Mus musculus: one gene and its partner. The protein of the gene in region 1 interacts with the protein of each later gene in a pairwise test. Links are inferred from orthologs where the notes say so. Each region holds a gene or a part of one and is shown on either strand. Other genes may lie near its edges.

Region 1 (3,650 bases):
CTGGCACTTCTTCAGTAGCTCTTCATACTTCACTTTCAGGGCACTGTACTGAGTGTCCACTTCATGCAGAAGGGAGATGCCCCTCTGCTTCACAGCCTTAGCCCTCCTGATGCAAGTGTCCTCATGGTCCTTCACGATGTCATCCCCTGCCAAACTGCTGAGCGCCGTCTCACTGCTGCTTCGTTTGAGTGGTTTTCTAGGTGCTTCTGGAGCAGCCAGGAACATTTCCTCCAGCAGACTCTGGCTAGGCTCCTTGAAAGGAACAAACAGAGAGTCGGGCACCAGCTTCTCCACACCATTCACAAAAGGATGCTCTGCCTGCAGCATCTGCCGCATCTCAGCCACCTCTGCCTCCAACTCCAGGGCCCGGGCTCGGTAGGCATCTGTGGCCCCCAGCTGCTGCTCCAGCTCACTGTTCTCCTTCAGCACCACTTTATACTCTGCCTCCACGCTCACTCGCTTCTTCCTCTCTAGACTTAGCTGGGCCTGCAACATCGTCACTGCCTTTTTCAGGTGCTCATTTTCTTCTTCATCAGGGCTCTGTTGGCTCTGCAAGGAAGTGATCTTCTCAGCGAACACGTGGTCATACACAAAGTGTCTGTGAGGAAACATGGGATATATAAAGGTCAGCTGAGACTGCAGAGGAGGCTGCTTTTCAACTAAGTCGTTTAAAAGCTGTGACATCAATTTTTAGCCCATTCCATACTACAAGCAGTGGCTACATGAAACTGTATGAGGCTGGTGAATTCTTGAAAGCAAATACAGGTTTTGTGGTTGACTTTTCCCCCAACAGTAAAAGTAGTACAGAAAACGCATGCCAAGGCCAGCAGAAAGATAGCTGCTTACTAGGAAATATAATGGACAGAAATTCTTATCAATAGTTGGAGATCACTATCAGCTGGGTGGTGGTCTTAGAACCTGGAGTTCACACCATCGGTTTTGAAAATTGTTGGTCTGCTGCCTGGACCTATGGAATTTTAAATGTTTTCCATAACGTGAAACCAAGGTTAAGGAACACAGTGTTTGGACCTTTAACCTGGGCTACCCATCAGAACCACTGGGGCAGCTTAATGGTCACATCTAGAAATTCTGACCTGAGGAGAGTTAGTATCTGCTCTAAGAAAACATGCACAGTGCCAGATGCACACATGTCATCTCAGCAGCACGTGGGAGGTGAAGGCCAGCTGGGCCGAATGAGACCTTATCTCAAAACCCCAAAATCGCCATAGGAAATGTGAGAGACATGAACTGGCCTCTCTTCTATTCAGTCCGAGGCAGCTTGTACCTATCTGTGTGTCTTGGTTATGGAGCATCTAACTCTCCATTAGAATGAAGGGTTTTGAGGACATAGAACATGTCCATTTTAGCCATCATTCCTGGATGTAATATGTGTTAAGTAAGCATTATTAAAGACTTAAAACCAAAACTATAAACTATAGAGTCATTTCTTTAGGAAAAAATACTTTTCTTCTTCTCATTTGGGACAAGGTCTCCGTGTAGTCCTAGCTGTCCTGACCTTGCCATGTTCTGGACTTGATCGTGCAGAGTCTGCCTCTGCTTCCTGAGTGCTGGAATTAGAGGCATGAGCTACCAAACCCAGCTTCCAAAGTTTCCACCTTTTCCTTCATTCTAAAGTGAAATACAACTCCCAAATCTGTACTACGGTGGAAGTATTACTAATTTTAAACTAATATTTAACAAATTAAAATGAAAAGAAAAGAAAGAAAAACTTTTCACAAAGTTACTGACACCCATGAACTCTCACTGCTACGTTTAGGTTCAGGGGCTCTGCTACCCACTGGTGTCTGACACGTTCCATCTATGTAACCCACAATATGTCAGTGACATGGGATGCTCCCAGTGTGCAAATCCACAGCAAGGAAGGCGCTTACTGGCGGAGGTCATACAGCTCTTTCAGACAGGAGAAGCTGGGTGCTGGTTTCTCCTGGTCACATGCCTTCTGCCTCCCTCTTCCTTGGCTGGAAGACTTCAGCTCCTCCACTTGGCTCTGCAGGTGATCAATGTTGGTTTGCAGGCATTCAATTGTTTCTGTCAGGCTATGAATAAAGCAGAAGCCGGTCGCTGCTTGTCAAAATAAATTAAGATCAAAACCAATGAAAGGGATTAGGTGTGAGCCACTCAAACTTGGCTTTCTTAATTGGAAAGGACTTACAGTTAATCCTCCTTCTCCCCCCACCTCCCCCCAAAAAAACCCTTATCCTAGACTGCCCAACCTTCTACAGGCACATTCTACTTCAAATTATCCTAACCCCTTTGTAGATTGTCCCCTGTAACAGTTAGAAAGTCTACCTGAGGATTTTCTGCTGTGAGGCCTTGCTCTCAGCAACTAGCTTCTGGTTGGTTTCTTCCAGTTCTCTTGCTGTGACATCTAACTGCTCATAAACTTTCGCATGCTGCTCATTCATTTGCCGTAGAAGCTCCACCTGCTTGGTCAGGTACTGTAAAAGAGGAGTCAGATCAGGTCACAGAGCAGATGAGATAACCTGCACACTTAACACCAATTCTATGGTTCTCCAACACCAACTAAAGCCAGGTGAGGGCGCCGGGCTTCACCTGTGGGCTCAGCACCCGCCTGGCATGGGGATGTGTTTGCCAGCCCAAAAGCTCCACAGCCTTAGAGTTTTGTCAAAGGCTTTGATAACTAAAGTTGCCTGATGCTCTGCCCACATATCTCCTGGCTAGCTAATAATGTGGGCCTCTCGTCATCCTATTACTCTGGACAACAATGGTTTTAGAAGACTTTTTAAGAAGCCAGGATTCAGGGACAAAGACCAAAAGTGAATTTTTTTTTTTTTTTTTTTTTTTTTACTATACTGTTGTCATCAGCTTACTTAATGGAAAAGAGAATATTAAATCCCAACAAAACTACCTTGTTTTAATAATAAAATCAGCACAAGCTATTTTCAATGTGCTTAGCTCCATTAATACTTCCCAAAACTCTGACATTCCATGAGTCTAGACTACTTTTACGAACGATATGCTTAATATTCAAAAGGAAAACCCAAAAGGAAATATGATAATCCCTCACGAAAACTTGGAAAACATGATAAAAGTTTAAGCACTGTGTCTAACAGAGGCTGGAGAGATGGCAGTGGTGAAGAGCCCTTGTTCTTATAGAGGACATGACGACCCACTGCCAGCATCCAACCCACAGATTACCACCTCTCTTAGCTCCAGTTCCAGGGGATCTGCTCCTTCCAACTTCTGCAGGCGTCAGGCACGCACACAAGTGCATGTACACACATTCAGGCAAAACAGTCATACAGATACAAATAATAAATCTTTAAAAAGCAAAAAAGGTTAAAATATATGTTTAACCAAAAGGAAAAAGGAAGGAAAAGCTTAAAGTAGAGGATTTTGATGGGTTTTTTGCTTGAAAAAAAAAAAATCAATCTTTTTTTCCTGAATGAGGCATTTTAGACAAAACTAGTGAAAAATACATTAATTTTACCAGGTACTTTAATATATATCAAAATCTTGTTACCTCTTTCTACAGGAATGTTATCTCTATTATCCTTACTCTTGAGATACTTAGCAGGTTATTTATTTTGGTCCTGCTAAGACTGCTTTCTGAAGATGGAGGATAAGCGCAGTCTTAATACCACAGCTAGGTCACCCGGCCCCTCCAT
Region 2 (3,650 bases), on another chromosome or scaffold:
ACTGACCTGGGCCGTAGCCTGGCCCCTGTGGAGCTGCTGCTGCGGGGCTCCGCTCGACGCCTAGACTTACTGCACCAGCAGCTGCAGGAGCTGCATGCACATGTGGTGCTGCCTGACCCTGCAGCTGGAAGCGGTGAGCAGAAAGCCTGGGAGCTGTGTTCTGTCAGGATACTGTCCTGGGTTCACAGAAGCCACAGGAGAGGCCAGGCTTACAGGGCCACTAGCACCTGGATGAATACAGTCACACCTGTTTCCCAGACCCCACTCAAAGCTGTCTTTGGCATTAGGAGTACCTAGATATAGACTCACCAGCATCCAGGTAACACCAGAGACCCACACTGTCACCAGATACCTAAGGACACCATTACAACTATTTTCAGACAACGACTGAGAAACATGCTATCACATGAGAATCCAGAAGCCCACAGTCACACTAACAGACACCCAAATACTGCACATCTGTCACCCTCATGGCTCCCTAAATCATTCCAATATGTAAAGAAGGAAGGAAAGAAGGAAGGAAGGAAAGTGGAGAACAAGTGAGTAACTTACCTGATGTCCCTCTGGCTTCTGTGTATACACATGTGCATGCACACATGTGTACTTGTACATAAAGAAAACCCACAACACAATTTATCATTGCCAGAGTTCAGTCACTTTATGTGTGTACATGCAGTAACAAAGCAATGGTTCCTTCATCTTGTACCTAAGATGGTCATGGTCACAGGGACACCAGAAGACACCCAGAGTTTATACTGTCACACACATGTTCAGAGAAGTACAGTCAATTATGCCACCTGGGCAACACAGCAAACCCGATTACGTGATTCCAGAGACAGGAGCACAATCTCGTCCAAACAGCGTCCAAGGTTTGCGTCCTGTCACTTATACCTAGAGAGACACACTAACTAACCCACAATGACACTAGAGCTCTCCCACTAGGTCACACCAACCTTGAGAGGTATCCCACCACTGTCCCATCCACAGCAGACTCTACCTACAGCCTACAGGCTCAGCCCCTCTACATATGGCTGTGTCAGCTTTTGGGGTCCAATACTGCTGGAGTTCAGCCAAGAGTCTCATAAGCCCTTTCTGCAGTTCCCCACCACTGCATCTCTCTTGTGTTACAGACCTCACCTCTGACAACGACAACAGCCAAGTCTCAAAACAATCCTAGAAACCCCTAGAGATCAGAACTGAGCTGTACCAACAAGAAGCAGTGTCATTGTAAGCTCACACATATACACTGTTACACCCACATCTAGGGTTCTACCACCAGTGGCCTACAGACATAATCACACACACACCAGTGGGCTTATACACCCTAAGGCAGATGGGGGCATTTTTTCCAGCTAACCCTGAAGACCTGCATACCTGGTCACTAACTCACTCTCCCTCATGCTGAAGCCCAGTCTGTCACTGAGAGCCAGATGTCTCCTGCCCGTGTACTGGCCCCTAGGCTCCTTTTCTGGATGAAGGTTTCCTATTGGCTGGGACAAAATCTCCCAGGTCTCCTGGGTACACTGAAGTGACCACTGTGTGATTCTCTTCTTTTCTTGTTTCCTCAGATGCTACCCAATCCCTTGCAGAGGGCAGCCCTATCTGCTCATCCACCAACCTGAGCAGAGTGGCTGGGCTGGAGAAGCAGCTGGCCATTGAGCTCAAGGTCAAACAGGGGGCAGAGAACATGATCCAGACCTATAGCAATGGCAGCAGCAAGGTGAGACCACAGTGCTCCAGAACCTTTCGTCACTGTGACGGACCGGAGGCTGTGTCTCTCCCGTGTGCTCCCTGCCTCTGACTTATCTACTCTGGGCATCATATTATTGCAGTACATGGCCATTTGTCTGTGGCTCTGCAGACACTTGCACAGAGATGTTCAGAGAGGTGAGGAGGATGTAGTTCCAGCTGGTACAAACTGGGCTATGAGTCCTCAGTCCAGTGGAGGTCCAGACTTTGTAGTTGAGAGCACTGAGGCTCAGAGAAGTGAAAGAGCAAGGCTGAGGTCAAAAGCTGAACTGGAGTGGCAACTTTGGAATTTTTGTTTCTTTACAAACTCAGAAAAAAGAATGTATTTTCATTTTAATCCAAGGTGTGGGATATGGGACTGCTTCTGACTGTCCACAGCAGCTGACTATGATTTGCCTCGTGCTCTAGCAGGGGCATGGTTTTGCCAGCTCCATATTGTTTCTGCAGTTGTGTAACACTTGAAATTCTGGGAACTTCTCAGAGGATATATAAATGCTACAGTCCTGATAGGTGGGTGTAGCTGGTGGTCATTCAGGGGGGATGGTTGCAGTTTGTTAGTAGTTGTACTCAAAGAAGAAAGGAGAAGAAAGAAATAAGACTCCAGGATTCCCCCTCCCTCCCTCTCCCCTCTATCCTTTCTCTCCTATCTAGTGATAGGGGTGAAACCAGGGGGATAATGGTTGGGGAAAAGAAGAACCCATAAAATAGCACAAGACAGGCAATAAGTGGTGCCCAAACATGGAAAGTGAAGGATAAAAATGGGAAATTAGAGAAAACAAACAGGGAATGGAGGAATGGATTTTGTTTTTTCAAGACACCAGCAAAAAATGTATTGTAGCTGTTGCCACTGGGATGTTTCCTGCTTTGCTCCCAAAGGGTTTTTTTTTTTTTTCTTCTTTTTCTTTTTTGTATATTTTGCTTTGAAAAAGGTTGAAGGACTGGCTGGGCAGCTGGAAAAGTTGCTAGTGGAAATGGAAGGGCCTGAGAAACAAACAAACATGACTGAAATGGAGAAAAGAAGGGGGCCACTCTGCTCTCTCTTCTGAAGGGTTGGAGTTGACCGTGCATGGGAGAGGTTGCGGATAGAGGTGGTGAGCACCAGGAAAGAGAGAAGAAAAGGCTCAGTCCTGAGAGCAGGAGTTTCCCTCAGGAGGAAAGACGGAAAGAAACTGTGCCCGAAGGCAGTCAGGTCAGAAACCGGCTGAGGAAGTGAGAGGACAAGCTGATGAACTGGTTAGAGAGAGAGAAGGGGTTAACCTCGAACCAGCTACAGCTCCAGAGATGGAGGAGGGGCAGCTTGGCCTTAGGAGATCACCACTAGTTAGTTGTACAGCATGGGCCTGCTGACGGTGTGGAAAAGGGTCATGGGGACATAGGATGGCATCCTCGAGGCATGATAGAGCTACAGTCTTTTAAAGGACTGTGACTTCTTAGGAATGCACTAGCTTTATATGAAACAAATTCTAAATAACTGTGCTACTCAAAATAGAATTATTCTCCAAGACTAGAAGGGATTGGTGACAGCTTAGACACCAGTCTGCAGTTGCCATGGTTAACATGGTGGGGGGAAGAAGCTGCAAATATTGGATCACGAAGTAGAACGAGGGGATGAATACAGTAAAAGACGAGGTGTTGGGTGAAGGGCGGTACTCTGATATACAAGAACAGATTCAATTTGATGATGTTACTATAGAACGTTGTCACTTAGTGGCTTTAAGAGCTTGGGACAGGGCTGGTGAGATGGCTCAGTGGGTAAGAGCACCCGACTGCTCTTACGAAGGTCAGAAGTTCAAATCCCAGCAACCACATGGTGGCTCACAACCATCCGTAATGAGATCTGACTCCTTCTTCTAGAGTGTCTGACACTCCCTTTTCTGGAGTGTCTGAGGACAGCTACAGTG

The links. The genes of interacting proteins can lie anywhere in the genome.
Region 2: the proteins of Cdr2 (region 1) and Pkn1 interact in binary tests that used the Homo sapiens proteins (3 or more experiments, as listed by UniProt). The link is inferred for Mus musculus from reciprocal best matches to the Homo sapiens genes CDR2 and PKN1.

The regions. Positions count from the first base shown.
Region 1 is NC_000073.6:120,958,200-120,961,849, forward strand, and holds part of Cdr2 (cerebellar degeneration-related protein 2), read right to left. Parts: intron 2,460-3,650; coding exon 2,311-2,459; intron 2,083-2,310; exon of another isoform or gene 2,058-2,082; coding exon 1,893-2,057; intron 599-1,892; coding exon 1-598.
Region 2 is NC_000074.6:83,689,119-83,692,768, reverse strand, and holds part of Pkn1 (serine/threonine-protein kinase N1), read left to right. Parts: coding exon 1-133; intron 134-1,568; coding exon 1,569-1,720; intron 1,721-3,650. UniProt on the Homo sapiens protein: PKC-related serine/threonine-protein kinase involved in various processes such as regulation of the intermediate filaments of the actin cytoskeleton, cell migration, tumor cell invasion and transcription regulation.